Arabidopsis thaliana: one gene and its partners. The protein of the gene in region 4 purifies or fractionates together with the protein of the main gene of each other region. This does not show direct contact. Each region holds a gene or a part of one and is shown on either strand. Other genes may lie near its edges. The genes, in order: SPDS1, AT5G16880, ALAAT2 and UBA 2.

The links.
Region 1: the proteins of UBA 2 (region 4) and SPDS1 fractionate together in Arabidopsis thaliana (co-fractionation; one large-scale study listed by BioGRID). This does not show direct contact.
Region 2: the proteins of UBA 2 (region 4) and AT5G16880 fractionate together in Arabidopsis thaliana (co-fractionation; one large-scale study listed by BioGRID). This does not show direct contact.
Region 3: the proteins of UBA 2 (region 4) and ALAAT2 fractionate together in Arabidopsis thaliana (co-fractionation; one large-scale study listed by BioGRID). This does not show direct contact.

The regions. Positions count from the first base shown.
Region 1 is NC_003070.9:8,417,680-8,424,407, reverse strand, and holds SPDS1 (spermidine synthase), read right to left. Parts: upstream 3,999-6,728; coding exon 3,830-3,998; intron 3,737-3,829; coding exon 3,660-3,736; intron 3,569-3,659; coding exon 3,446-3,568; exon of another isoform or gene 2,791-3,445; coding exon 2,686-2,790; intron 2,590-2,685; coding exon 2,517-2,589; intron 2,418-2,516; coding exon 2,346-2,417; intron 2,241-2,345; coding exon 2,045-2,240; coding exon of another isoform or gene 2,041-2,044; intron 1,961-2,040; coding exon 1,837-1,960; intron 1,750-1,836; coding exon 1,684-1,749; downstream 1-1,683. Other genes in the region: AT1G23840 (uncharacterized protein), read left to right, coding at 1-87; AT1G23830 (uncharacterized protein), read left to right, coding at 368-1,405; AT1G23810 (Paired amphipathic helix (PAH2) superfamily protein), read right to left, coding at 5,842-5,922, 6,006-6,107, 6,188-6,305, 6,407-6,688.
Region 2 is NC_003076.8:5,545,074-5,552,009, reverse strand, and holds AT5G16880 (Target of Myb protein 1), read right to left. Parts: upstream 3,094-6,936; 5' UTR 2,899-3,093; exon of another isoform or gene 2,373-2,898; 5' UTR 2,353-2,372; coding exon 1,834-2,352; intron 1,548-1,833; coding exon 1,284-1,547; intron 1,177-1,283; coding exon 736-1,176; 3' UTR 501-735; downstream 1-500. Other genes in the region: AT5G16890 (Exostosin family protein), read right to left, coding at 1-346; AT5G16870 (Peptidyl-tRNA hydrolase II (PTH2) family protein), read left to right, coding at 3,468-3,641, 3,713-3,771, 3,885-3,944, 4,023-4,092, 4,351-4,420, 4,588-4,614, 4,986-5,035; AT5G16860 (Tetratricopeptide repeat (TPR)-like superfamily protein), read right to left, coding at 5,624-6,936. UniProt on the Arabidopsis thaliana protein: Might contribute to the loading of the ESCRT machinery.
Region 3 is NC_003070.9:27,230,560-27,238,546, reverse strand, and holds ALAAT2 (alanine aminotransferase 2), read right to left. Parts: upstream 5,073-7,987; 5' UTR 4,911-5,072; coding exon 4,698-4,910; intron 4,435-4,697; coding exon 4,384-4,434; intron 4,281-4,383; coding exon 4,230-4,280; intron 4,113-4,229; coding exon 4,047-4,112; intron 3,969-4,046; coding exon 3,907-3,968; intron 3,818-3,906; coding exon 3,739-3,817; intron 3,649-3,738; coding exon 3,505-3,648; intron 3,450-3,504; coding exon 3,339-3,449; intron 3,269-3,338; coding exon 3,131-3,268; intron 3,058-3,130; coding exon 2,862-3,057; intron 2,783-2,861; coding exon 2,628-2,782; intron 2,543-2,627; coding exon 2,468-2,542; intron 2,384-2,467; coding exon 2,180-2,383; intron 2,093-2,179; coding exon 1,976-2,092; 3' UTR 1,758-1,975; downstream 1-1,757. Other genes in the region: AT1G72340 (NagB/RpiA/CoA transferase-like superfamily protein), read right to left, coding at 65-271, 342-583, 754-895, 1,011-1,163, 1,245-1,730; PUM23 (pumilio 23), read left to right, coding at 5,967-6,220, 6,317-6,680, 6,793-7,095, 7,215-7,385, 7,600-7,743, 7,874-7,987.
Region 4 is NC_003076.8:1,967,744-1,976,583, reverse strand, and holds UBA 2 (ubiquitin activating enzyme 2), read right to left. Parts: upstream 6,625-8,840; 5' UTR 6,506-6,624; intron 6,355-6,505; 5' UTR 6,346-6,354; coding exon 6,024-6,345; intron 5,683-6,023; coding exon 5,465-5,682; intron 5,272-5,464; coding exon 4,477-5,271; intron 4,268-4,476; coding exon 3,399-4,267; intron 3,318-3,398; coding exon 2,885-3,317; intron 2,799-2,884; coding exon 2,202-2,798; 3' UTR 2,057-2,201; downstream 1-2,056. Other genes in the region: AT5G06480 (Immunoglobulin E-set superfamily protein), read left to right, coding at 1-61, 258-365; AT5G06470 (Glutaredoxin family protein), read left to right, coding at 1,206-1,925; AT5G06450 (Polynucleotidyl transferase, ribonuclease H-like superfamily protein), read left to right, coding at 8,095-8,715. UniProt on the Arabidopsis thaliana protein: Activates ubiquitin by first adenylating its C-terminal glycine residue with ATP, and thereafter linking this residue to the side chain of a cysteine residue in E1, yielding a ubiquitin-E1 thioester and free AMP.

The DNA of each region.
Region 1 (6,728 bases), on a different chromosome or scaffold from region 4:
TGTGTTGTTTGGTACCATGATTGTAACACAAGGGTCTTGAGGAAAAAGGGTGACGTGGAGATTGGGTCAAAAGCTTTTGCTACATAGAGAAATTGTTTGTGAGTTGTGACCAAATCTTTAACAATTTCTCTATCACCAATAGCTTTTGCTCTCTACTTGAAATAACAAATTGAAGTTTAATAGTTCTCAAATCAGAAGACACTTCTAGTAAAACCCTACTAGTCAAACATTACCATACAGTGGCTTGTAGAATAAGTCAACAAGTCAATGAAGGATGCTAACCATATATTAATATATGTTCTACTTTACATACAGATCTGTGATTACCCTTTTTCTTCTACTTCAATTGTGAGAAAGAGATCAACAAATGGAGACGAATAGCGAAGAGAAGCTAAGTGTCATCGAACTACTAAAACGAGCTCTTAAGCTACTCTTTGGTAACATCAATCTCTTGCTCTTCCTATGCCTCTGCTCTCTCCCACTGTTTTTTTTCTTGATCTTCTTTGAGCTCTCCCTCCAAACCACCGTCTATCTCACTTCCCAATTCCTCTGGAAACTACTCATTCTGGGAGAAGACTTGCCGGAAAATGATCTGATTCTCATATCAGAGAAAAAGAATGATCTGATTTCATGGCTGATCCAGACATTTCTGCTCTACTTCTTCCCCTACACCATTCTTGACCTTCTTACCACCACCACGATCGTTGCAGCATCTTCGATTGTTTACACATCCAAGGAAGAGCCGTTAGGGCTGCTTTATTTGGTAGAGAGATCTATCAAAATATGTCAGAACAGAGTAGGAGGTTGTCTGATCACATCTCTCTATGTCCTCCTTTGGTCAACCTCAGTTTTTCTTTTCTTTTTCTTGTTCTTTTTTCTTCAGTTTCTCTCTGGTTCAACCAACTACGTATCCATTCCTTATCTCTCACGCGAATACAAAGGGTTCCACTACCAACCAACGGGTCTATTCAACGTGGTAGTGCCTCTGACTCTTCTGATGCAATGTACTCTATTTATAGTTCTGACTGCAAAGTATAGTAAGTGGAGCTCCGGATGGAACATGGGTTTGGTTGTTTCGGTCTTGGAAGAAGACGAAGATGGTCAAGGCATCTACGGAGGAGATGCTCTGTCTCTTTCAGGTTGGTATAGAAAAGGACATGAGAAGCGTGACCTCTGGTTGATGTTAATGTTCTTGGTCTTCGGTCTTGCGACAAGGATGCCATGTTTATACTCCAAATGCAGTGCGAGTGGAAATGGAGTGATGTACACTGGCTTCTATGTAGGCTTGATTTGTGTTGGCAATTTACTTAAATGGGTGACTTGTCTTGCCTGTTACCATGATTGTAAAACTATGGTTTTGAGAAAAAAGCGTGATGTAGAACAAGCTAAAACTCCTGCTGCTTAAGAGACTTTGGCTGAGATCAATTCAAAGTGTGAATCTTTATAATAAATGGTATAAAAGCAGAAAGGTTATTAGACTTCTCAGCTTCAACGCAAAAGCATAAGAACATGTTGTAAATAGGATTTGCTACTATGCGAATGTGTAATGCTAAAAGAAGACATAGTCGCTCTTGCATTGTGTTACAGAAACATGAGTGAAACAACAGAACATTCTAAAAACTGTAAAAAGCTTTTATTTTTTGATAAATTCAACGATCCTCCAGATTAGTTTTCTTTCCCTTTTCAATTGGCTTTTGACTCAATGACCTTCTTGGCGAAAGAAGGCAAGCAGAATGCAGCTGAATGAATCTGAAACCCCCAAGAAATGAGAGCATAAGCTAATGATTCGAGTGTGTAGACCGCATGAAATGGTATACTGAGAGATTTTTATCTTACCTCGGCATTGTAAAACTTCAAAGGTCCATTTGATTTGCTGGAGCTCTCGTCAATTGGGTTCAGTGGGTGTTTGAAGTCAACATCAGGTCCTTCAGTTGAACAAAGCATAAATCCAATGACCCCACTGAAAATAAGAAAAGTGTGATTCAGGTTAAGTTATAATCACCCAAAAAGGAGAGAGATTGATGTTAAAGGTCATTAAACATGCCTGGGGTATGTTGGAACGCTGGTCCAAGCATAGTTCACAGAACCCTTGAAGATCTCACGGCAGTTGGAAACAATGTCTTCGATGATGTCCATGTGAAGCCACAAGCTTTCAGCTTGAGTGCACACAACTCCACCAGGACGAAGAGCTCTAGCCACAGATTGGAAGAAGGGTTTCTCAAACAGCTCCTTTGCAGGACCTGACAGACAATAAGTAAAGGCTGCTTTTTAGTATTGTTCAACATAACAGTAAGGAATAATGTTGTTTCTGATGACATCTGATGACATCTGATTGTAGTAGTTACCGATTGGATCTGAAGAGTCAACAATAACTGCATCGTATGATCCTTCAGCAGCATTCTTCAAGAAAGCAACACCTGCAACGATTCACCAACCGATCAGTTTGAAACGGCAAAATGTGTTCAACATAACTACATAATGTTTCAGAAAGAGAGAAAAAAGCGGCAGTATTGTACCATCGCCAATGACAAGGTTCACGCGAGGATCCTCATATCCAATTGCTACATCAGGGAAAAATTGCTTAGACACCTGAAAATTACCAGTAGGTGGAAACAAATTAGATAACAAGGTATTTATCTATCGAAATAGAGAAGAAGGAAAGGTGAAAAGTAAGTGACCACTCACGTCGACCACCATTTTATCAATTTCACACATGTCAATCTGCTCAATAGAAGCATGGCGTGCAACTTCCCGCAGGACACCTCCATCTCCTCCTCCAATGACCAAAACCTATGGAAGAACTAGAAAGGCATTGATCAGATACACTCTGGCTTATAGCTTTACTAGCTAAAAGCAAAAACAGCATTTTTAGCTGACCCACTTTACCATAACCCAAAATAGTTAGACTACCCAATTCTGATACTTGGGAGCAAAAGCAATTCTGAATGTAAGAAGCTTGATTATCTAACCTTTTCTGAACCAAGTCCCCCAATAACAAGCTAAAGACTAATCATTTAAGCCCATTGAAATAAGTTTCTTCCGAATCATTATTATAACCCAATAAAGTTACTTGAGTTCTCTAACTTTGCCAGAAGGGAACATGGGACTATGTACCTTTTTTTCTCAGGAGGCCATCAAAGTTTGTACATATAAAAAGCAAAAAATGGTGATCATGAACCTTTTCTCTAGTGGACATTCCTATCACCACCCTGGAATGTAATCATTAATGCCAACTCAAGTAGTTTCTATATACACATCTAATAAAAGGAACTCTGGTTTCTCTATTTCTCCATAACTAATGATTTCATCATCCTACTTTACCGGAGAAGAAAAATGCAAACTTCAAGAAAGACCTTTCATTACATTCCAAAGCTATAAACTTTTGATTACCCACAACACAACACAATCAAGGTCACAGAATCTAGCAAAAGGATTGATTGTATACCTTCTTAGGGTTAGGGATAGAACACAAAGGAAGATGAGTGATCATTTCCTGATAAGCACATTCATCTCTCTCCGTAAGTTGGATTACTCCATCCAAAACCAAAACTTTTCCATATGTTGCAGACTAACCAACACATAAAAAACAAGTCTTTATAAGTATAATCACAGACAAATAAGTTAGGAAAAAACAGAGAAATGATTCTTATTTTTGTTACCTGGAAAACAATAACATCCTGATAATCTGATTTCCCTTGAAACAAAACTTTCTCAACCTTCAATGAGTGTGCCTCTCCTGCATCATCAAACCAATGAAAAAAAAAATCAGCTTTTTAATTTAAGAACCCAGAATTTGTTTTTTGAGAGAGAGAGAGGAAGGAAACAAGACCTGGCCACATAGGACTCATTTCAGAGAACCACCCAGGAATAACAGTGGAGAAACAAGCAGGTTCCTTTTTCTGATCTCCGTTCTCCGTCTCCATGGTAGCGGCGCCGCCGTTATCATCCTCTTCTCTCGGTCTTTTCAAATCGGTGGCAGAGGTTTCTTTAGCGTCCATGGTTATTGCTCTGGTGAATATCTCCGAGAAATGAGAGAGAGGAGGAACTAGGGTTTGTGAGAGGTGGTGATTTTGGTGTGAAGTGAAGCGGAAGATATAAGGAAGAGAAGAGCGTACAACTGAAAATATCATTTCATTTTTTTATTCACTTTTTTTTCAACGTAGCGAAATTATTATGTGATGATAATTCTACTTTTGCCTCGAATATATCGTTTCTTTAACTTTTGGGTCCTTTTTAATGGTTTTTTAAAGAGAAACTTTTTGGCTTTTTATGTCTGGTTTTTTATTCGTGTCTTTAATGCTCACTCGCTTTTTAGCACACGCGCTTTCTCACGTGCAAAATTCTCATACTGTACCACCACCAAACATGGACGGACTAGACTAGAGAATGTTATTTCCATGTTCTCTCAATTGGTTTAGTTACCAATTCCAAACTCTATAATCTATTTTTGTTTTAACTTTATTTGTTGTAAGTAATCTTGTGTAAATTAGTTTTTAACAATATGAAACTTTGTACAGTGATAATAAGATTTGGTACAGCTCCTAGTAGAGGAAGCAATTGGTTCATATGTAGTATTAGCTAAATCTTGGCTCTTGTGGGTTCAAAGCTCAATCAAAGCACATAGGTGCTTATGTTTTGTCAGTCTACAAGGAACTTCTTTTGTTATCATCAGATGCAGCCCGTTGCTCAATATTGGGATGTAGGACTCTCTGAGTCTCAGCTGGAAAGGAAGGCATTTAAACGAAGAAGCAGATTCTCGTGATCTTTGATGAGTTCCTTCGTTCTAGAAATGTCACTAGCGACATACACTCTACAAAAAGAGACCTTAGTAACATCAGGATCAGTTCACGTAGTGTGTTTGTTCTGTGGATTGGTACTTATGAAATGATGAGCATGCCAAACATAACAAGAGAGAAAACAACTCATATCTATATATGGACGCGAACGTCAGTAAAGAGCTTTAAAAACACGTCATACTTGGCAGGTTCATCATGAAATGCTTCCTTCACAGCATTGATGTATGTAACCGCATCCGCATCATCGATAGTAGAATCCGGTGTTTGTATGTAAAGAGCTTTATTATCGATTTGTGTTTGTATTGAGCAGATAATTAGTAAAATCTTAGCATTAGCTTTTACACTGCAGTCTTCTGGTTTTTTTAGTTGCAAAAGTATATAATTGGTAAAATCTGTGAAAATGAAATTTAAAAGCTTTCTATAAATTAAAGACATATGATGAGAAAGTTTTATGATTAGAATGCAGATATTTGTATTAATTTAGTCCAAATCTTGTTTTAAAAAATATACAAAACATATTTAAATTAGAGATATAAATATTGAATTTAATTTTTTTCTATAAAATCTTATTATCAATTTCGTAATTCATATAAGGTTTACTTAAATTAGAAAATATATTTGTTATTAGAATTACTTGACTTTGTTTGTTTTGCTCTGTATTTTTTGGCCAGGCGTAAGTTTGGGCTCTCTTCCTCTCTGTTTTTGTTTCTAGCTGAACTCTGTTTTTTTAGTGTTTCCCCTCTCAGTTTCTTATGCAAACACGACCCAAAAAATATCTACACGGCCCAAATCTCATGTCTTCTTGGTAACGAGGAAATATTTATTTAGTGAAAAAACATTTGATATCAAAGAAACCTCAACAAAAGAAACTATACACTCTCTTTTAGTCTCTTATACGCCAATTCATTGTACAATATACCTCAACATAGAAGCATAGCATATTTGTGAATGTCATGTTAATCAAACCAAACTCAAATGTTTGCAAAAGAAAACTAAAATCACTCTCTTTTCGTTAGAAGCCTTCCAGTACCGTCCTTAGTCATCTCTAGACTCTAGTAGATGGATCAGTGAAAATTTGTGAAAGCTCCATGACTAAATCGTCATGACCCTGAACAAGTGCAACGATCTGCAAAAGATAACAAAGCAAATGAAACCAAAGAACTAAGAAAGTGCAACACACAACACAAAGTATCCTACCAAGAAGCCTACCTCCTGATACGCATCATGTTTGGACTTGTTTCCCTCACCGTACATTCTCATTATCTGAAGAACTGAGTCAACTACTTGACTACCATCGCCCTGAAACTTTGCCTGCATATGGACAATTTTGTTACTTAAACCGCAAGTGAACATATAGGAAATATCAAATGGTACCTATAAGCACTCTATACCTTAAGCTTCGTGGTAAAACTCGTTGTAGCTGAAAGGAAGACACAGAAACCAAAAAGCAGATTCGAGTGATCTTTCATGAGTTCCTCCACCCTAGCAATGACACTAGCGGCATTGACTCTACAAAGAGACTTAGTAACATCAGAATCAATTTACATAATGTATTTGTTCTGTAGACTGAGAAAATCAAACATAACATGGAGAAAAGAACTAATACATACCTGCGAGCTTTAAAATCATTCAAGAGCTTAAGCATTTCCTCATATTTTGCAGGTTCATCATGAAATGCTTCCTTCACAGCAATGAGGTATGAAGTCGCATCATCTATGGTAGGCTCCGGACGTGGTACGCTTCTTCCAACCACCTTATGAAACTCTTCGCTAGCCTCGGGAGGGATGGCTCTCTGATACTCAGGTGCAAGCATGACATTTAAACCAAGACACAGACTCGGGTGATCTTTCAAGAGGTCCTGCATGCGTGCACTGAAAGTAGCCATACCCATCCTACAAAGATAAAAATAACATTAGAATCAATTCTCACATG
Region 2 (6,936 bases), 3.6 Mb from region 4:
ATTCAACAGGATATCCCGGATCTTCGTTCAACCAACGATTCTCTCTCTCGAACACCATCTCATCGAGCTTCCTCACATCATCATCACTCTCGCCACGCACCGTGTCGTCTCTAACCGGTAACGAGAGCTTCGGAGCTTTATATATTAAGAAATGCTCAAGCGAGGTAACGAAGGACGTCTCTGGTCGGTCCGACGGGTTGGGATTGGAGATGGAGGCTCGGGAGGAGGAAGAAGAGGTGTAGAGGATGACGAGTAGAGAGACGGTGAAGAGAGAGCCGATGAGGATTAGGGTTTTGGATCTGGGTCTGGAGGAAGTAGAACGATGATTTTGCTGTTTTCCAGACATTGTGAGATCTGCTTCTTCGAAATCTGAGTTCGATTACAAATTTCTGTTACTCAGTTGTTGCATATTACTATGAATGTGGAAAGTGACGATGCGCTTCACTTAACCGCGATTGCGTCTGCGACTGTAAACGCTAAATTGAAACAAAGTTTGTGTTCAAATGTGCACGATAGCAATTGGATAGATGTCAAAATGTGTTTGATAGCAGAAACTAGAATAGAATGTATTTCAAATCTCATGTGCCATCATAACAAATCTCCTTTATAAACCATCACACAAGTCAAAGAGATCTCCAAACACAGATTACTTACATTGAACCTGTTCATTCATACTACCAATTAAACACCAAATACATTATAAAAGATTTATTATGTCGCCTGAAAGTATCCGTCTCAGAATCGAATGAGATCGTCGTTTTTGGATGAGGACTGCTCCTTTTTTGGGTCATGATCTGGATTAGTCGAAGAATCACAGCCGTTTTTCTTACCGAATATCATCTCATCAAGATCATCCATCATGTCATCTCCACTACCACCCCCTCCATGGAATCCACCTCGAACACCAGAAGATTTTCTAACCAGAGATTCTTCTCTTCCATGAATTGGAGAGTCATCGGGCTCTTCAGCAACGGGAATCATGGCTGGTTCATGTGAGGTTAGCGGTGCAGAGGGTTTGTTCATCTCCTCATACTTAGACAGCGTTTTCACTAGCTCGTCGTTCACATTCAAGGCTTCGAAAAGAAGGGCTTCGTTTTCACCTGCTGTTTCAATGATTCTTTGGACAGTGGTTTGAGATTGACGACATTGTTGTACAAGTGTCGTTGTTAAGTCATCCTGCAAATCAGAGAGATAATGAAAATATATCGCCGATATCCCATGTTATATCCATTATTACATTAGAATTACAGGAAATGATGCCTAATAATTCCGAGTCAATTTACCTGTAAAGCATCATGTTGAGGCGAGGAGGACAGAACCGTGGAAAGAAGTTCAATGCTGTTTCTTGCTATATCAAAAGCTTCCTTTGTCTGCTCAGCAGTAAAGCTTCTTACAGGCACATCATACTGGATATGTGCAGGTTCATGCACATGCTGAGGAAGATCAGCATTCAGTTCTGGTGCTGGAGTTGACCGAGCAGGAGTGAAAATAGGTGCCAAGCTTTCGTTGTCTCGTCCAGGGAAGCGAATACCTCTTGCTTTTAAGCTCTATAGTATAGGAAAAAATATAAAAACATTAAAGACCTAATCATAATGAATTCTGACATCAGACCTCACAGCTTTTCATTTTTCAATCAATTCCTGCAACAAGCTAGTCGATTGAGCCAATTCATTGAAACAATAGTCATTTGTCTGTTTTGTTCAAAACCCATATGCTTTGGCCAAAACAGTTCAACTCAACATAAGATAGTGGTATCTTCAATAAAGTATTGTAAATGAAACTGTATTGTTGAATTTAATAGCGTAAAATTATTTGGTACCAGGTCATAGTTACCTTATAAGTTTCTTCGAAAACTGGTAGGTAGCGAAGTTCACTGGTTGATTCTCCCCAAGCTTCAATCAGCATCAAAGCTTTGTTTCGGTTATTAACAACTGTTTGTGGATCATCAATCAGCTTTACCATTTCATCAAGGACTCTCTCTGCTGCCACCTCTGAAAACGCCTTCTCACAGTTCTTAACACACGTCTCGAGCAAAACCAAGGCAAGGTACTGAATCCTCGGCTGCTTCATCATAATCCTCTTCTTTATACCACGGATCAACTCAACGCTATTAATTGTCTCTTGATTTATCATATCACAAATTTCCAAATTCATATCCCAGTCAGGTTCCTCTAGATTCTCAGTAGTAGCATCTTCGACTATTTTATCAGTTGGGTTTGGACCTTGAAAAAGTTCCTTCACTTTAAAGCTCATTGAGCTCACACCAGCACTGATCTTGTTGCTCACTTCCGAACCTCCGATCTTCAGGCGCTCACCAAATGCGGTAACTTTGTCCATAAGATTGTCACCCATCTTTGCTGATACTCAAAAACCTGTAAATGAAAAACAGCAAGAACCTGGAATTGTACATACAGAACAAACCAGAAAGCAGCTGAAACATCAACTTGTTCAAGTATCCTTCAATGATACTAAACAATAACGAGCACGAAAGGAAATACTAACAATCAATAATATACACCTACGAATTCTGCAGAGATTCATACAAAATCAAATACACAAAAAGGTTCAAACCCGGTTAAACCAGGTTTTCAGATACGATCTCTTCGATCATACAAATATTCTTCTCGATCCAACAAAATTTGCTCAAGGAAACTGGTTTAACCAGAAATTAAACAGTTTTTTACGGATGAATGTAATTAGGGTTTGCTGAGAAAAACCGAATTCGATATTCGAAGATCAAAATTCGAAAGAAAATAGAAAAATTCGTTTTGGTCAACAAAAACCCTAATAAGGAAAATAACATTTCATATGATCGAAAAACCCAGAACTAGATCGATCAACACGGAAACAGTAACCAAAAAACAGCGAAATCACAAGTAAATTAACGCGAATTTCTACCTTTGAGATTGAACAAAGAGATGAGAAGCTCGAAGAACAAAGCTCGATCTGGTAATAGAAGACGGAGACTAGAGAGGAAAATCTGCGACAAGGTCAATGCCCGTTGACGCCGTACAAATCCTGAAGAAGAAGAAAACTGCGTTCCTTTTTTAAGTGTTTGGTCGTGGGAATTACTTTATCCTGACTATGTTTCCCTTCCTTTACGCTAAACATTATTTTCAAAAAGATATGCTTTTTTATTTTTATTTTTTTCATATCAACCAATCACGTTACGCAATTTCATCCAACGAACCAAAAAATAATCGATCATTAAATGTTTTTTTTTTTTTTTCTTGCCAGTAAAATCTTCACGCCGGTTTCAGGAAAAAAAACTTCATCATCGGAGCCGTTTCTCTCTCTCGAACTCGTAAGCTTTCTTCGATTCTCTTCTTTAGACCATTGATGAGAATCTTAATTGTTCCCTTTCTACTGTAGAAACTTGAGCTAGATTACGTTGAGGTAATTCAATTTTAGATACTCAAATTCAATCATTTTGTTGTCTGTAGGATTTAAGTATTTGAATCTTGCCAATGGATTTGACGTGGTTAAGTGCCCTAATTGTTGGAGCTGCACTTGGATACTGCATTGGCACTCGCCGTTCCAAACCTGTTGTTGCTGCTGTTGATAAGGATATCAAAACTCAATCCTCCAAAAGTCCACTCGAGATTGAGAAACTCGCTGATATTCTCGATGATTTCAAGATGGTAGTTAGCTACATTTTTCTCTCTACTGTTATGGAATCACAAAATTGTTGAATTGAGTTTTGTATACTCAGGTTTTGGTGGTGAGAAATGATCTTAAAATGGGTAAAGGAAAGATTGCAGCTCAATGCAGGTGATAAACTAATCATGCTCTCTTTTACTATTTTAAGTGTTTAATTCATGTTTATCATTCTTACATTTGAGTGTTCTTATTCTGATTCGTTTTATTGGTCTGCATTTCTGCAGTCATGCAACTTTAGGATTATACAAGAAGCTTGTTCGTCGAGCGCCAAAAGCATTGGACTGGTATGCCTCTAAGTCATGATCAATTCCATTTGTTACTTAATATATGGATTGAATTAACAGTATAGGTTGCTATTGCAGCTGGGAGGAATGTGCACAGCCAAAAGTTGTTGTGAAAATCGAGGACGAGGACGAGATGCTAGAATTGCAAGTGAGTTTACTAAAACAAATTGTAGTAGACTGTAAAGTGGATTTTTTTTATTGAACTATATTTTGGATTCACAGCTTTAGTGCTGTTGCCAAATTGATCTTCACGGGCTTTGCAGGAGTTGCCAGATGTTAGTTTCTTGATAATTTCTGAGTTCTGACCATATACATGAATACTTAAGGGGAATTTGAGATATCATAGAGCTTATCTTGATTTTTCCCATTTCTTATATCTTGTATTGACTGTTCACAAAATTGTCAGGAAAGAGCTAAATCCCTTAAACTGCCTACCCATATCACCATTGATGCTGGAAGAACACAGATTGCCCCAAGTGAGTTTCATAAGTTCCTCCCCTCTTGAACTTGAAATCCCTTGGTGCTTTAAACTTTATGATTGCTAGTTAATTGCCAGGGAGAAAGCTCTCTTGATTCAATCTTCTTTCGTAAGTATCATTTTCTGCGAAAATGTGAATCTAATAATACGTCATGTTCTTTCCAGATTCAAGGACGGTTATGGCTATTCTTGGTAAGTTGTTATTTTTAAGATATGTGTTTGAAAGTTAAGACTCTGATGGACAAGTGATGAGTTTGAGAGTTGCAAATCACACTTACCCTAGAGAAATGTACTAGTTTATTAGTTCATGACTTCTCTTGATTGCTTGGTGCTTGTCCTTGACCCTGAATGGAATCTATAGTTCATAAGAATCCAAAATATGAAATGTAAGCTCAAAAGTTGACTCGGTCAGAAGAGGGTGTATACTTTCTGCGTGGTATCCAAATTCATATGCACCGTTCTATGACCAGGAGTTAGAGATTCTTGTAGCAGAATTTGTTTATCGGATATTATCAGCATTTCTTAACACAACATTCCAACGCTTATAGATTTTACTTCTGCAGGACCAGTCGAAGTTGTTGATGAAGTAACAGGTGGACTAAAGCTTCTTTAGCAGATTCGAATTTCGATATGACATTTCTTCAACCTGATCTCTCAGATGGACCAAGCAGAAAGGAGAGACATGAACTCCACCTTCTCTGTTCGCCCGAGGTTACCTGTGAGAAATCTGTAGTTGTTACGTATACTCGTTCCTGATGATGACGAAATATTCATTTTAAAACATTTTCCCCATTTTTCATGGGCATGTAGCATTTCCCTCTACCAATGGTGATATCATCTTTTTTTGCTGGATTTGTATTAGAAGTATCAAAAGCTCGAGCCTTTTTTGGCACATTGAGAAAATGGCTTGTTCTAATGCCAGTTCATGGGAGTGTTGGCTATATGAACATTTCAAATGTAACAACAGATCTTGTTTATTGAAGATAAACCCATGGTATGGAGTGTGATTATCTACCAAAAATAAAGAAGAAAGCTATTCATCTACAAAATTTGCTTAAATTATATAATCTACATGAGGTGTTTAACACAGTGCTTATTATCCCTTTCTTTGTCCCTTTAGATCGTTCCTGAAATCTGCTGTAGCCATGTCAAAACCCTCAGGTTGCTTCCGTGTTTGGTAGAGTGCATAGAGAGAGCATCATCACCAGTAACCTTTGCATGAACACGATCCATTTTTGAAATGATGGAAGCGACTTGAGTCCCTCAATATAATATCATGATCAATGATTCTGGACATGTATGTGAATGCTGTATGGCAATCACCACATACCCGTAAATTCTTAGTAATCCTGATAGCAGCACCTTGCGGAGTTGTTAGAATACCATATGCAAGAGCTAACTTCTCACTATGCTCGAAAAGAAGATCATCTTTCTCTTCATCGTCTACATCATGAAGAGCAAAGCCTGTTTCAGGAACATAACCAATGTCCTTGATGCGTTGCATGTGATCTAAGAGGACCTGGTATATTTCCTTAGCGTGTGGATGAGTTTTATCACCCACGAAGAACGTAGTAGTTCCTTTAATTCCTTCAACCCAACTACAACCAGGTCTTTTCTTAACTCCTTTATGTCTCATCAATGATCTGATCCTAGTCACATCTTTCCAACGCCCTGCATTTGCATACAAATTTGAGAGTAATGTATATGATCCATCATGATTAGATGCTAATTCTGTTATTTTTTCCGCAGCGTACTCCCCGAGTTCAACTTTTCCGTGGATTCTGCAGCAACTGAGAAAAGCAACCCATACCACAGGAGGAGGCTCCATTGGCATTTCTTCAATGAGACGCAAAGCTGCATTCAACCGGCCAGCACGACCTAACAAGTCAACCAAACATGCATAATGCTCCGGACCAGGACTAACCCCAAAAACAGTTTTCATTCTATTGAAATACTCCATGCCCTGATCAATCATTCCTGAATGACTACAAGCATATAATACAACAAGTAATGTAACACCATCAAGCTTAAAACCTATTCTCCTCATTTCATCAAAGATTCCAAGAGCTTCTTCTCCATAACCATGCATACCATAACCCGTCATTAGAGATGTCCAAGTAACTTCATTTTTCGCCATCATATTGTCAAATACAAGGCGGGCATCACTGATGCTTCCACATTTTGCATACATGTCTATTAGACAGTTTGATACGAACAGCGGTACTGCATTCTGCTGGTTGCGCAACGCATAAGCATGAATCTGCTTGCCAATTCTTAGTGCAGCCAAACTGGCACATGCCACGAGGGCACATGATATGGTAAAAGCATTTGGTCTTGTTTGGCAATCTTCCTCAAACATCTCAGATAAAAGTTCGAGAGCTTTATTTGCATCCCCGTGCTGGGAGTATCCACCTATCATCACAGTCCAAGTCACAACATCCCTTTCCTTGGGGGAAAGTGAATCAAACATAGCACGTGCAGTATCAACCTTTTTGCACTTAGCGTACATGTCAA
Region 3 (7,987 bases), on a different chromosome or scaffold from region 4:
TTGGAAGTTTTCACTTCTGAAGCAAAAGTAGTATAAATAGTTAGTTATTAATTAGGAGTTGAAATTAGAGATAGAGTTGAATAAGCTCATCGCTAACTACAGAGGGAGAGAGAACACCAAGGTCAGTGAAGAGGAGTGTTAGGTACTGAGGCGGAGTATAGTCTCGAGCTGACCTCTCTACTTCCACCTTTGTCGGAATCTTTACACCAAATTCGATTGGTCTCAACGCCGGTGCCATGTCCTTTTGGTCTAATGGGTAAAGCCTAGCGAACTGCAAATACACAACTTTGTATCATTAACCACTCTCTTACTATGGGATCTTATAAAACCGTTTCAATTACCTTGTAACTCTCAGCAGCAACATAGACCGGTTTGTTCATGCTGTGTGCCACAAGTGCGATTTGGTATGTTCCCATCATGTTGATAATACCGCCACTTTCTACAACTCCATCCGCCCCGACAAACACCATGTCTACCTCGTCCATACTATACGCCACAGCTGAATCAAGCAGTAGTTTCACTGGGATATCGAGCTTCGATAGCTCACTCGATAACAGAACTCCTGTTCCATCCGGCCTCCCCTCTATCATTTTTTCACCAAAAAAAGTTAGCGAGAGGCTACTAATACAACAAAATCATAAAGAGACAGGGTTTATAAGGTCAAGACTATGCAACAAAAATGTCTCAGAGAAACCAAGAAACATTAAGCGGATACAACTCAAGTTCCAATCTAAGCTTGTTGTTTAAGCGAACCTGTGCAGAGAACTCGAAAGAGCTTGTTGTTTTGTGCAGCAGTCTTAAGTATTTCCAGAACAACTCTAGAGAGTCCATGAACCAATATGGTACAACCATCGAATATAAAATCTTGACTAAGCATTGCGATAATCCTACGAGCCTGCGCAATAACCAAACCTTTATAAACCCTCTTCTATCAAATACTAATTGATCTACTTCATTGATATATGTACAAAAACTACTAAATATGAGCCAGAAGCCATAAAAGGAAGTACCTTGCAAGATATTTCCCCAAATTTCTCAGCACGTTCAAGAAGACGAGACTTAGCTGAATTGAAATCTTCATATTCCAAAGCAGACGTTCTCGTAACGTATCTGATAAACAAATCGCATCCAGCTGTCAAAGAGATCGACGTTTTGTCCCACGACTGCCAAAATTTGAACATTTCTTAAATCAACAAAGCCCACAAAATCGAAGAATGAACAGAAAGTGAAAAATGAATTCTCACCTTGAGTGTATCAGAAGCCTTTTTGAGCTCAATTTCAAGCTCCATCATGGTGCTCGCTTCGCTCGCACGAATAACAGCAGCCAAAGCTCGTATAGCCGCGACGGCTTCAGCCAGATCCGGTTGTTTTCTCCAGTTATTGAACTCTTCAATTACATTAAACGACTTCTCGTTCCCGAGATCAGTTACGGATAAGTCATGCTGGGCATCGCCTGAGACGCCGCCAACGGCGGCTTGAGCTTGGGCTAGCCAGTCGCTTGTAATGACACCGTGATGCGCCGCGCGAGTTTGGTAATAAGCGGAGATGGAATCAGGGTTTTGAAAAGGACCTCGTGTTGTATCCGCCATTGGAGGTGAATTCGAGCTTCGTCGCTCGTCGAGAATAAACGACGGTGATCTTCTCCACATTGATTTTTTTTTTTCTTGAGAAAATTCTTCAAAATGGAAAAATTGAAGATAATATACTGTCGCTTTCTCCAGAAATATCATATGAAAAATAAATATAAGGCCCATTAATAATATAAGGCCCATTTATAAGCCCAATAAATTTACTAATTTTCATATCTTCATATGACATGCCATGGAATGGAAGTACAAAATATTCTAAAATTAAATTAGCTGATCACAATTGCCTGATCAAATTCAAAACACAAGTTTTCTTTTTTTTAATAACTCAAACTGATCACACTTTTCTTCAAAAGGGTCTTTAAGTTCATCTTCATGGTCAGGTCCTTTTAGTTGCGGAACTCGTCCATGAAGCTCTTGTGGAACTCTGTCAGACGATTCACTATCGCTGGAATCTTGTCTTCTTGTGGAAGTATTGTGCATCTAAAGTGCCATGTTCCAGGAACCTAAACCACAATGAATCCAAAACCCATTATTCAAGTTCGATCCTTTTGTAAGACATTTAAAGTTATGAAGATTTGGTTATATTTTACCTGTCCAAAGCCAGAACCAGGGACTACAACTACACCAGTAGCATTGAGAAGGCGTTTGCAGTAGAACGCATCTGGTGCAGTTTTTTCAGCCTCAGCAGCTTCGATAGCCTTTTGAGGAAGGTTAATTCGCGGGAAGAGATACATTGCTCCTTCGGCTCTGTTACATGTAACACCTTCTAAACTGTTGAGAGCGTCTTCCAAAGTCTGCAAGTTCATTTTCAAGCTTGTGACATTATATACAAAGAGACTGAAAAATGTCGTTAGAGGGTATTGTAATCTTCGACTAACCTTTGCACGTTTAGCCATGGATGAGAGAATTCCATCTCTTTCTGCCATGTATGAGTCATATGAGTCATCACCAGGCTGATCAAATACAATATTAGACTTTTTAGTCATAATCTGTTGCAAGAACTTAGCGAAAACCGATTAGAGAGAACTAGGGTGTTACCTTGGGTGGGCTCATGACAAGGCTAGCAAGAATTTGACCAGAGATGTTAGAACAAAGATTCACAGAAGCCATTTTGTATATCTGTTCTCTTACATCAGAAGTGAATCCAGTAACCTCCATGTAACCTCCTCTTTTTCCACATTCTCCATAATATCCTATCAACAGAAGAATATTAAAAACAAAAACCCCATTTTTTAGATGACAAGCATTGGACAGTAAAAGTTGTTCTTTTACCTTTGGAGACTGATTGGAACGAGACTAACGAGATATCTTTTTCTCCATAGCCCAAAGACCGAGCCACTTTCTTGAAAGAATGGAACTTTTTGTCAGGGACGTAAACATTTTCTTGGTAGACTTCATCAGCTAAAAGAACCAAACCCTCTTGCTTGCAGAAATTAACAATGTCACGCTGGTTTTCTTCCGCAAGAACCTAACCAGAATAAGAACGCAAGATTAGAAGAATGTTACATTTTGTTAGGCTAGTCTTGAAAATCTGTTTGTACCTGCCCAGTTGGGTTACCGGGGTTTATGACAACCAAGGCCCTTACAGAGATGCCCTTGGACCTAGCTTCCTCTAGTTGCTTCTTAAGGTCAGATATTTCCAGTCCCCATCCTGTTGCTTCATCAAGATAGTACGGAACCTAAGAAGTACAAATTTCAAAAACTTGTACCAAAAAACAACATTACTCCATGATGATTATATGAACATACCAAAGATCCACCATGAAGGGCAATTGAAGCCGAGTACAATGGATACTGAGGAATCGGGGAAAGAATACCATCTTTCTCTGAGCTCAAGAGAAGTTGCATCATCATGTGAACCTATAGAGTAAAAAACACCAAAAACACTTAGCATGAATCCTTTAAAAGAACTTACTCTAACTCTATGAGATAACGTTTTCGTTTTGATTGTTACCGCTGGACTTGCACCATCAGTCAAGAAAATATCATTTGGATCAGCAGGGAAACCATCACGTGCTTCGATTCCAGCTGCAATTACATCACGTAAACCCTTGATACCCTGAGGCAGAACAAAAAATGAAACATTCAGCAACATAAGAACCATCTCAAGAAAGGGTTTAGGACTTTTAACTAGACTCTAATAACAAACCTGGCTATGACTGTAAGCCCCAGTTGCTCTTCCGGGAATATGGTCCAAAATCCTCCATGCTCGGTCAATTGAATCGGTACTGATAGCAGAGTAGAAATCAAATGTTAAGCAATCTTAAACCGTGAGCATACATGTCCTAAAGCTGAAATATAGCAAGGAAAACCTCACCTGAACAAACCATGGGTTTCAGACTCATCCAAAAGACTTGCGTGGTCACACAATGCGAGAACCTGAGGCATATAGATGATAGACGTTATATCTCTGTGGCTGATATGACAACCAAACTAGTACCAAAAACATTCACTTACCTCACGGAAGAACTTTATAGGCAGCTGACCAAGAGATTGAGGATTCCCAATGTTGCAATAGATTATCTGCCAAAAGTAATGAAGAATTCTAAGTTCCTTGCACAAAGAGTTTGAGAACAGGTAACATCAACACTAAACTAATCATAAATCCGTCAAAACTGCCGATAAAGAAAGAGATTTTACCTCATCAAAGGGATAAGCATCCTTATTAGTCTTCAAGTCTTCTTGTAACTTCTGTAAGATGGAAGCAAAAAGCAAACAAAAATCAATTAGCATTAAAAACAATTTTACAGATTTTGTTCTTGGTTTTACAAGACAAAGCACATGCATCTCTGACCTGAGCAATGTTGACAATTTCTCCTCGAACAGCATACTCACATTTCAGAACCTGTTCCCCGGAAAAGAAAAAAAACTCTTAGTTAACAATAAAACCAACTTCTCTGTAATATAAAGTACAAAGAAGTTATGCAAAGCTTGTCGATTTCATCGTTGGGAATCACAACGAGAAGCAAAGGATAAACCTTTGGCGTTAAATCAGACAACCACAGTAAAAAATTGAAACTTTTTTACTAAATTAGAAACAAATCCAGATCAACCCTGAAACCCACAATTCAAAAACGCAATAAACCAGCTAGAGAATTAGAAACCGACCTTGGGATTGATGGAGTCAAGAGTAACGGGAAGAGAAGAAGTGGAATCAGAAGCAGACATCTCCGAAGTAGAAGAGAAGAAACGAGACAGAGCAGGAGGAGAAGAAGCAAGGGGACGAGGTTGAGGAGAGAGAAAGCTTGGACTTTTGTGGTGATGTTGACGACGAGAATGGTCGACGAGACCTTTAGCTTGGTTAATCAAGAATCTCCGCATCTGTGAATCAGCTTTATACTAGGAACGTGCTCTTTAAGCCCTAGGATTGAAAATTCTCTCACGAGGAAACAAGGGTCCCAATATCCAGTGCCTTGCACACCGAATTTTGCCTTGTCCTCCACGCTCAGAAATTGCTTTTTCGTTTTTTCTTTTCGAAAATCTAATTGATGAAGATATTTGTAGGGGTTTTTTTTAGGCGGCTAATTTTGTTGATTTATCTGTTAAACACACGACTAATCCCAAAAAAAGACATGTCTTTTATCAAAAAAAGATGTCTGAAGTCTATCTTCCGTTGACTTAATTATCCAAAAGGACCAAAATTGAATAATCCAATCACAGTCGTAATCTAATTTGGGGATAAATAGATACTTATAAAACCTACAGCTAATTTGAAAGTTATAAATTTTTAGAAATCTCTAAATTTAAATAAATCACAACAACATGTAGCAGCACATTGCTAACGATGAGGTTTTTTTTGGGCTACATAATTGGGCCCTAAAAAGGTCGGTAAAATCGTGATTTAAAGCCCATTATTTGTTTATATCCACGTCAACAAAACGATATCGTATTAGGTTGGACGAGAATAAAACCCTAGGAATTAGAAAATTTGTACAACGTCAAAACATCGAAGATTTTGATCCAACGTATACCAAGAGTTTCGGAGACGACGTCGTTTTGTCTCTGCGCCGCGTTCTTAGTCTGAGCTCACGCTTGTTCGTTTCTCCTCTAACGTCAACTGTGTTTTTGCATCCTCAAAGGTTTGTGATACACCTTATTGTTTCTGTTCTTTTGTACAAGCTTCACATGGATTAGTGTAAAGTCTTAGAATTGGGACTCGGAATTTATTGTTATGTTTTAGGTTATTCAACCCAGTTATGGTATCGTTTTGAAGTAGAGGTAGAAACCCTAATTTTTGGGGTCTGTAAATTTGGAGAAAAAATTGAACCTTTCCCTTTTTTGTTATATTGTGTAATTTGGGACTAATAGTTCTTCGAAGCTGAGTTTTTTTGTGTGTAAATTTTGTAGGGTTTAACATAGTTGGGGCTAGGAATTTTCATGGTTTCTGTTGGTTCTAAATCATTGCCATCTAGGAGGCACAGGACCATTGAGGAAGATAGCTTGATGGGTGAACGAGGAAAGTCTAGTAACAATCACAGTGAAAGGAATAAGGGAATGCGTAGGAAGGACCATAAGGGTAACCGTGGATTTGATGTAGATAGCAGCAAGAAGAACCAATCCGGTGGTGCCCCCAATGTAAAGCCAGCATCAAAGAAACACTCCGAATTCGAACATCAGAATCAATTTGTCAGGTAAAGGAGATTTTTAACCAAGGGCCTTTGCTCTAATTTATAGTCGAAATTTTGTTGTTGTGAGAAGTGGTAGTGATTTGGGTGTATCTTTTTCAGGAAAGAGATTGATCCAGAGACTTCAAAGTATTTCTCTGAGATTGCCAATCTCTTTGATAGTAATGAAGTTGAATTAGAGGAACGTTCAGTAATATGTGGAAATGCCCTTGAAGAAACAAGAGGGAGGGAGTATGAAATTGCTACAGACTATATCATAAGTCATGTCTTGCAAACTCTACTTGAGGGATGTGAACTTGACCAACTCTGCAGTTTCATACGAAATTCTGCTAGTGTGTTCCCAGCCATTGCAATGGATAGATCTGGTTCTCATGTCGCAGAGTCTGCTCTCAAATCCTTGGCCACACATCTAGAAAATCCAGACGCCTATTCTGTTATTGAGGAGGCTTTGCATTCTATATGCAAGGTACTTTATACAATTTTTACTGGCTTTGACAATCATATTAAGGTATCCAGATTATTGCTTCTAGTCTAGTAATTGACCTCAATTTTGATGGTGAAATATTTCCCCTGGTCAGGTGATTGTGGATAATCCTCTTGATATGATGTGCAACTGCTATGGTTCGCATGTACTACGAAGGCTTCTTTGTCTTTGCAAAGGAGTCTCTTTAGATTCCCCTGAGCTTTATGGCGCAAAATCATCAAAAGCTCTGGCCAAACGTTTGAATCTGAAGATGTCTCAGCTAGATGACAATAATTTAGAAATCCCTCATCAAGGGTTTCCAGGTATGCTCACGTACCTTTTATCTGGGCTATTAAGTTGTAGCAGAGAGGACATGAAGTATCTTCAAGTCGATCAGTATAGCAGTTTGGTCTTACAGGTAGGTTTTATGTCCCTGTCTAATCGTTTATGTCATTTTCAAGCAATTTCTTTAGTATTGACTGTTATTTAGTCTCTCTCCCTGATTCACGGTGATTCTAACTAATCTTCTCTTGACAGACGGCTCTCAGACTAATGCTGAAACAAGATGAGCAGTTGCTTGAAATCATTCCGCTTATTCTGCGCTGCAACTCTACTAATAAAAAAGTAGAAGGGTTTCATATAGAGACTAATGTTGCCAAAGAAATTTTAGAGTCGATGAAGGATAATTCATTCAGTCATCTGGTGGAGGTAACTGAGTCTAACCTCTGGCTGCTCTGACTGAGTTGTTTATACCAAGATTCTGTACCTTGCATAAAACAATTGATGATGGACGTATTGCCTGCTTTAGACCATGCAAAATATTATCTATAAGGATTGCTAGTTCTCTGTTTGATTCCATGCTGTAATTGGAGTGTTAATTTTCTTAGTCATCTCTTTAAATGCGTTTGCATGCCATTTTCAGGTTATTTTGGAAGTGGCCCCTGAAAGTTTGTATAACGAAATGTTCAACAAAGTTTTCAAGAATTCTTTATTTGAGCTTTCAGTTGATCGGTGTGCAAATTTTGTTATTCAAGCATTAATCTCCCATGCAAGAGACCAAGAGCAGGTATCTTTATCATACACTTCATCTTTTTCTGTGACATCAAAATTTCATTCCAGGTCTTCTTAACTTCGAATTTATTTGTGCTATTTCCGTGAAGCCAGTAAACTTACGTTCAATTGATTTTGTTTACAAGATGGGTATTATGTGGGAAGAATTAGCTCCAAGATTCAAGGATCTTCTTGAGCAAGGGAAGTCAGGTGTTGTGGCTTCTCTGATAGCAGTTAGCCAAAGGCTTCAAAGTCATGAA
Region 4 (8,840 bases):
TATACAAACCGGAGATTTCTTGGTTGCACACTCTCAAGTTCTTCCTGGTTATACTCCTCCTGTAAGTTCTCATAATTGCTTTGTTTTGTGGAATGTGTTGCATTCATAATGGATGGCCAATATATATATAAGGATTACCTTTGTATCGAGAGATATAAGATGGCTTAGGTTGAATGTCTTAATGTTGCATATTACTGTCGAAAATCTGGTACAAAAACAGGAAGATAACAGATTCTAATCTTACCTTTCTTGTGCAGGGTTCATACTTGCTGAAAATGAAGATGCTTGATGCAAAGAAGAAGGAGTTAACATGCATCAAATTCTCGTTCGACATTGGACTCAGAGCATCTGTGGCTGACATTTAGAGCAGCTTCACCTGTATTGGTGATTGTATAGATAGTTTAGGAAAATTGTTAATTCTTTCTATATCAGTTATGTCAGACCCTGAATGTGAAGGTGATCTTATTTTTTGGACACCAATGTGAATGTGCTTTCTTCACCATAAGATGTATCACCAGGTCTTATGGCAATCAGTCAAATGCTTGGAACGGTATAACTGACAAGGTCTCAACCATCATATGTAATGCGAAAAAGTAATCAGAGTAAAGTATATGATTAAATAGAAAATTTTGACTAATTCGAATTTGCAAGCTAGCTAAAGCTAAGCTTCTTTACCAATCTTACATCATTGCACGTTTCTGGAATTGTAAAAGACAAGACAGGCTAAATCAATTGATGACTCTTACCAGAAAGATTTATATTTCTTAAAGCTCCATTATAACATCTTCCTTTTTTGTTTTTAGCCTTCTGGCAAAATTGGGTTGATTGGGTAAAATCATTACTCATGTCATGAGTGTCTTTTGTCTTCTGTAATTGAGGTGTGAGTTTTATCATCACATCTTACATTATTGTAGCAATGACCCATCAACACAAAAAAAAAACAAAGACTTTTTTTCTTTCTTTTTTCATTCTGATGAAAACCCATCAAGAAAGACTTTTGAAAGCTAAACCAGAAAGTAGCTTTTGAAACTTTATTCATCAAAATTGGGTACCCACACGTTAACCAAAGAAGAAACCTGAAAACGAAGAACCCATTAGCCACTAAGTTTTGTTTTGTTTTTGTTCTCGTACCCGATCTTATCTTGATCAGAATTCTTCTCTAAATCCTCTTTTCAGATTTTTGAAAGATCCAAGTTTTGTTAGCAATGAAGGGAATGAAGGAAAGATTGGTGAAGAAAATCAAACTCATCACCACTGTCAAGACGTTGAAGCAAAGCTTAACTCTTCATAAGAGTACCATTGATCGCACAATCCATCATCTAAGAGACGAAATAGTCGCTGAATCTGGTCAAAGCAAAGGTTGTGTTACACCAACACTACTAGAGCTTGAGGATGCAGAGGAACATAATCTTGAAGAAGAAAGAGGGATTCTTCTGGAGTTTAAAGAGAATTGCCCACCCGGAGGAGAAGATTCGGTTGTATTCTACACGACGGGCCTGCGAAGTGTGAGGAAAACATTTGAAGCTTGCAGAAGAGTGAGATTCTTGTTGGAGAATCACCAGGTGATGTATAGAGAGAGAGACGTTTCCATGGATTCAGAGTTTAGAGAAGAGATGTGGAGGTTGCTTGGTGGGAAAGTTACCTCTCCGAGGCTGTTCATTAGAGGTAGGTACATTGGTGGAGCAGAAGAAGTTGTGGCATTGAACGAGAACGGGAAGCTGAAGAAGCTACTACAAGGAATCTCACAGGTTGATTCACCTTGCGAGTCTTGCGAGAACGAAAGGTTTTTGATATGTTCTAGCTGCAATGGAAGCACAAGATTGCTTGCAGAGCATCACGATGAAGAGAGTAGTAATGATAATATGTGGACAAGATGCAGAGAATGTAATGAGAATGGACTTGTGAAATGTCCTCTTTGTACGTAGTTGCTGTTATAAGCTAATAATAACTATCTGATTTTTAACTTTGTAGTAAATGATGTGTGAGAAAAACGTTTTGTATTAGGATTGTTTAATCGTATTATGTTTGTAATGAATAAGTGAAAAACACCAAATTTGAAAATTTAGTTCTAAATTTTAAGAAGTTAACTCTATTCTCATACATCAAAACTCTCTCTATCTCTGAAACTCAACTTCATATCCCAAGAATACAGTAATTATTAAAAGCTTCTCTCGTTGGGGACGTTAATTAAAATTCTCTAATCAGGCGAAGTAGACTGATACGAGAGGGATATCAACGTCAGCATCATTATCATCTTCACAAGCGACTACAACATCCACGTGACGTCTATAAGCAGGCAATTCAACCCCAGCCACGTCTCTTGCAAGATCCACCACTCTTCTGTTCATCCTCTCTTTATGCCTTGAGAACATACTGTTGTACAGTAAACTGCTTCCGCAAGATATGCTGTATGCGTTTAGCCCTTTCTCTTTTAGCCAGTCTAGCAACTCCCTTAGGGTCGGGTTTCCCCTCATCACCCACCGGTCCCAAACAGTCCAGCTTTGGTCTTGGTGCTTCACCACTTTAGGTGGAACCGGCTCAGCCATGGAGAAGAGCGGAAGTGCTAAGTTAGCAAATGTGTTTCTGTAGTCTTCTACTTTGTGTGACCCGTCTAAGACCTTGTACATCTCAAGGCAAACAAAACCTGTTGCCATTGCAGTTGATGTCGCAATCGCGGGTATGATTCTTCCGGCTATGAACTTGGCTTTAAGCTTGTCCACCTCGGGAACACTGTAGTTCCTTGCTCTCATGTTGGCTAGCCCAGCGATCATATCCATGTGGTAGTTGGTATCATCGTCCTAAGAACAGCAAAATAATGTTAGTTTGTTGCTCTTATAATTCAAATACAGAATCTGAAAGATACTTGGATACATTTATGATTCACCTTTTCAAACTGGATTGCCTTCATCCTGAACTCTGGCTGCAAGCTCATCCTGCACCGCACTAGTTTTGCGTTTAGTTCATCGATTACTGCTGCATCATCGACTGAAGCTGTAGACAAAGTTGTAGCCTTCTCATCTGTCACAATAGTTGCATCTTTCTTCGGCTCAAAGTCGGGGACAATTACTCTTTCCACAGCCTCGGCTAGTCCTGCTCGGGTTTTAGCCCACTCAGGAGTAGGGATTCCGAATGTCTCTGCTCGCAAGATAGATGCAGCCATGACAAAGTTGATATGGCTCAGGTCGGTTGAGGAGAATTGGAGTGGGCGAGGAAATCTCTTTGGGGCAGACCAGAACGGAGCTCCTGTACTAGTAGCAGCATCCTCAGGAAATGTGTAACATAACTGCTTCACACGGTTGGCGAAGTAGTCCTCAAACCTGTAAGCAAGCAATTATGTAAAGAGAAGAAAATCATTTTACATATAGTCTCAATGAAGGGTGTGGGCCAACAGAGAGTACCTCAGACGAGCCCAGGTTATGCAATCCTGGAATGAATTGCACTTTTCTTTCTCGAGGCACTCAACAACACGTCCCAAAGTATCCCTTGCTTGGGCATCACCAGCAGTTCTCATCGCTTTCATGTATTCAACAGGATCTGAGAGGTATGCATTAACTTCAGCTGGTGTTTTCTCAAGCAAACCCTCAAATTCAGAGCGAGCCCATGTTAAGCAATGATCAATGTTGTGAGGAAATGAGTGCACGGTGCACATTGGAGCCTGTTTCTCTGGTGGGTCTCTCGAGGCACCATAGTTCTCAGTGAGGTGAGGGATAACCATCTGTGTGTTGCACTTTGCACCTAGGGTTCCTGACTCGAGGAGAGGCTTCTGGAAATACACACACCTTGAATCAACATAAAGCCTTGCAGTGACATTGTCCAAAGCGTTCACCACAACTGTCAAATTCTCCCAGAAGCTGTCGTCAAAGACATTCTCGGTCTCAGGTCCAACACGATTTTGCAGAGCATCAATGTTGAGGCGAGAATTTATTCCAGCTGCTGCTGTTGCGGCAACTGTGGATTTAGCCTGTCCTATGTTCCAATCTCGAAAAAGAAACTGACGACTCAGGTTGCTCTTCTCAATTACATCATCATCGGTGACAGTTAGCTTCCCTTGGGTGCCACATGACACACCCATCAAAGCCAAGTTCTTTAAGAACTCGCATCCAAGAGCACCAGCCCCTACAACAAAAACTCTGGCATCCTCGAGTTTCTTCTGAAGAGTAGACCCAAATACAGAGATCTGTGCATCGTAACGGCTATTTTGTGGTCTAAACTCTGATGCATCAAGAGGTTCCTTGGGGAGTGACTCCACCGAATCAAAGTAAAAGAACTGCACAAATAATGCAAACTAATTACCACATTACCAAGTATAAAAGAAATACTACTAACAAGGGAAGAGAAACTTTAGTCCTGGTATAGGACTCATGTAGAGTAAATGCCTGTATAACATAGATGAACAGCATTGCTCAACAAGTAGAAGTTTAACATACAAAGACCGAACAGATGAGCCCCTGAAAAACCAAACAGAAAAGTCTTTACCTGAAAGATAGGATGGAATTTCCCAGAGCATGCCTTGACAACCTCCTGCCCAACAATGCCACCAAACATTGCAGCCATAGGATTCAGAACAGCCCTGGATCCAAAGGCCAAATGCCGCAACAGTTTAGAGTTGACATCTTCCAACCTTGCATCACCCAAACCCTCATTAATGTCAACTGCAATTTCCACTAGTTTCTGAGCATCTTCTTCTGAACCAGCAAACGGAAATCGGCCTGCTTGAGACGAAAACCTATCAAGTGCTTGGAATGCTAAGTGGAGAAGAGGTGGTCGGTCAAACTTTGAAAAGTCACTTAGAAGAAAGTCGCCTGGATCTTTAAGTGCTTCTCTAAGAGGTTTAAAGTTCAACACCTTTGGTTGTTTAACCTGAGTCACAATGCCACCCTTCATATATTGCCCATAGCTAGAGGTGTCTTCCTCCAGGGTAAATGAAAATGGCTTGACATTTTTTATCTTCCTTGGTTTTCCATCATTTAGCTCTGTCATTCCCTCAACTTCAGAGAAAACAACCAAATTTCCATCTTCAAACTCGAGCCTCTCATCATCGACACACGAAACAAATCCAGGATTTTCATTGCTAACAGAAGCGATGATGCCAGAGTGAGGTTCCTCCCCATCAACATCAAGAACAGTAAAATGAGGTCCAAAATCACAAAACAAAGACCCAAACAGCCCCCTAACATCAGCCTTGATGAATGCAATAGGAGGCTGATGACTGTGACAATAATCATCAATCTCTGTCGCTTTCTCAAAAGAGATATCCACAAATACCACAACCTGCATCAAGGAAAAAAAAAAGAAATCAACCACTAAAGCCAAACATTCTGTACTTTTAGTAGAAACGTTTTCATCCACGTTCAGTCACCTCTAATCTCTTTTACAGATAATTATGTCCATGAATCATGATAGTATTATTAACAACTAGAACAAGGAAGCAAAGACAAACCAAATAAAGGAAGGGTTTGGATACCTGGAAATCAGAAAGCTGCTCTTTGGTTAACTTCCCAGTCAAAGTTGAGACAGCCACAGCATTGTTGAGTTCTTGCAACTTGTGAACAGAAGCAAGTGCTCTATTCTTACCAATGTCCTCCTCCGTGAAAACAAAGTTACTAGATAGGTCCCATAGCTCAACCACATTTTCATCGTGAAGGGTCACTGACTTCACACCAGCTAGAATAATATTCTTGGCTAAATAAGAAAAAAAAAAAAAAATCATCCATCAGAAAGAAGGAAATAACGAAGAGAATAAAGAGCTATACCAGTCATTAGTTCATTACAAATCTATAGTGAATATTGAATAATCCTTCCATTATATAATGTGTCACTAACTCATTAGAAAATCAGGATTAACAAGTTAATATACCAATTTTACAATCTCAACTTCAAGTGCCCAAATGTACACACAACATCAAAACAGCTTAATCACGAAATACGTTTGCTCAAGCTTGAAGCTCTTTAACAACCAGCAGGACAAGCACAGGAATAACATGCAAGCAGAAATTAACAACGAAAAGTACAAAAATCGTTACCAATCTCAACACCAAGGCCCTGCATCCCAGAGATGAGAACGTTGGAAGCGAAAAGCTTCCTCATAGTCTCACGGCCGTAAACGGCGAGCTGTCTGCTATGAAGATCTTCATCGATCTCCTGATTGTTGGAGTTGTCGTTACCAAACTCCGCCATGCTCATCACCGTATCGTTACCACCGATGCTGTTGTTCAAACCGATGCTACTGGAGTTAGAAGCGTTAATCGCAGAACCATCAGCTGACTCAGTGTGATCGATCCGTCGCTTCTTCATCGGCGAAGAAGCAGATGCGATGATGTTCTCCTTAACAACGAATGGTTCCATATAGAGTAACTGAAAGAGAATATGTATCAAATAAACAGAAGAAGCTTCGAATAACAAACAAAGACAATAAATGAATTCCGATGAGAAGGTTCCTAGAGCTAATCGATGAAGGAATCTGAAGAAGAAACGAGAATCGGAGGAAATGAAAACGAAACCGTACCTTTGAGAGAAGATCGGAGGCGATAAGCGGCGAATTTGTTGTTAAAGTAGAAAGAGAGAGTATACTAAGCTTTTGGCTTTGTAGGTTGTGTAGAAAGAAGCGGCGGTATATAACAAAAATTGGGCGATGATTGTTGGGCTTTGAAACTATTTGTGCTGAATTCAGAATCAGCCTGTGTTGTGTGGTAAGTTTTTTCGTTTTTTCAAGTGGACCAGTTTAAGATAAATATCTGGTTTTGGTCTTGTAACATTGAACCGGATTTGAGTATGCAATAGACCAAATTTTAATTCAGGTTAGGTGTGATTGAATTTAAACTTTGAAATTGTTAATCAATCAAGTTTTGTTTTTTATTTGTTGATTGATAAAGAGAGAGTAGTTGTTGGATATTTGAATGTGTGTCGTACTTGCTAATTCCTAAAGATTAATAGACATTTCAAAGAAGTGTAATAAGAGTGAAACTTAAGCATAATGTGTGGAAATGTACCTTATGAACTCAACCATTTTGGTGTGAGCATTTGTGTTTGGAAAATGATATGGGGATGCTCTCTCTATCACTTATACCAACAAACACAATCTATGTTTTATGTGTGATTTCTAAACGAAAAAAATAATATTAATGGATTTGTAGTGTGACTACATTAGCGTGAAAAAAAACTCTTGTATCTTGAGAATTTGACCAACATTGCTTGACAAGTATATTCACGGTTGTATGATAACGATGAAAAATGTCTCACATTATATTTCTTGTGTGAATTGGCGTTGGTAACAAAGATTGACAAGGACCCCTTAAAAAAAAAAGTCAAGAAAAACATTCAAAAGACATAGAATTTCGGTTGAACCGGATTGGTCAGCTTAAATTACTAACGTATGGTTGGTTAAGCAAGCTGAGGAAATGTGTCTCCATTTCGTGATTTCTTCTTCCCTCGCGGGGATTTAGTCTTCTCTCTTCCAGCAGAAACCAGAAGAACTGTTCCTCGCTTACTACGATCCCTAACCGGACGCGAAATTTCAAGGTTCGTCCTCCTCTTAACTTCTCATCAGTTAATGTCTCTTTTAAGTTGAATTTGACTAGTATGATTCCAATTTCAGATGATAGTTAGGGGATTTTATCTCTCGGATCGATCGTTTTGGGTTACAAGAACTAAGATAGAATCAAATGTTTTTGTTTCTCCATTAGTTAATTAGTCTAAGAGATATAGAACAAAAAGTTTCGCTTCTTTCTTGTTATCTTTTGATGCACAGAAAGGTCATGAAACCTAGAACTAGGGGGAGTGATCAATGGTATTTGTAGCCAAAACTAAAAAAAAAGTTTGTTTACCTCTACTTTGATCAATTCGATGCTAGATCATTGTTTATTCAATGTGTGGTCCTTTCTTCACCCAATTTCTCCAAGTTTCCAACTCATGAATACTTGTAGTTTTTTATAAAAAAGAGGAAACCTTATTGGTGCTCAAGTTATATGAGTGATGATTGGATTCACTATCTTACTTTCCACTTCTATTAGTATTGAGATAAGTTTAGCTACAACTTTGTCAGTTATCGTTGAATCTAATTTGATTTGTGAATATTCTTTAGTGTTTTTTCATCACATGGCCTCCTTTGATGGGCCAAAGTTCAAGATGACTGATGGCTCCTATGTTCAGACTAAGACCATTGATGTTGGATCATCAACAGATATCTCTCCATACCTTTCACTTATAAGAGAAGATTCTATCTTGAATGGAAACCGAGCGGTGATCTTCGATGTGTACTGGGATGTGGGGTTTCCTGAAACTGAAACCAAAACCAAAACGTCAGGGTGGAGTCTGTCATCGGTGAAGCTGAGCACTAGAAACTTATGTCTCTTCCTTCGACTTCCTAAACCTTTTCATGACAATCTCAAGGATCTGTACCGTTTCTTTGCTTCCAAGTTTGTCACTTTTGTTGGAGTGCAGATCGAGGAAGACCTGGACTTGCTTAGAGAAAACCACGGTCTCGTGATAAGAAACGCGATTAACGTTGGGAAATTGGCTGCGGAAGCTCGTGGAACTCTGGTGCTTGAGTTTCTTGGGACAAGAGAATTAGCGCACAGAGTATTGTGGTCTGATTTGGGCCAGCTGGATTCGATTGAGGCCAAATGGGAGAAGGCAGGTCCTGAAGAACAACTTGAGGCTGCAGCCATTGAAGGGTGGCTCATCGTCAATGTTTGGGATCAATTGTCCGATGAGTGATTTACTACTTATCTCTGTGATTGCTTCTTTTTTTTTTTGGTTCTTTTGATGGAAATGACTTTGTACCTGAATCAAAGTGATCCTTTGTAAGTTGTTTGATGTGACAATCAACAATCACTAAACAA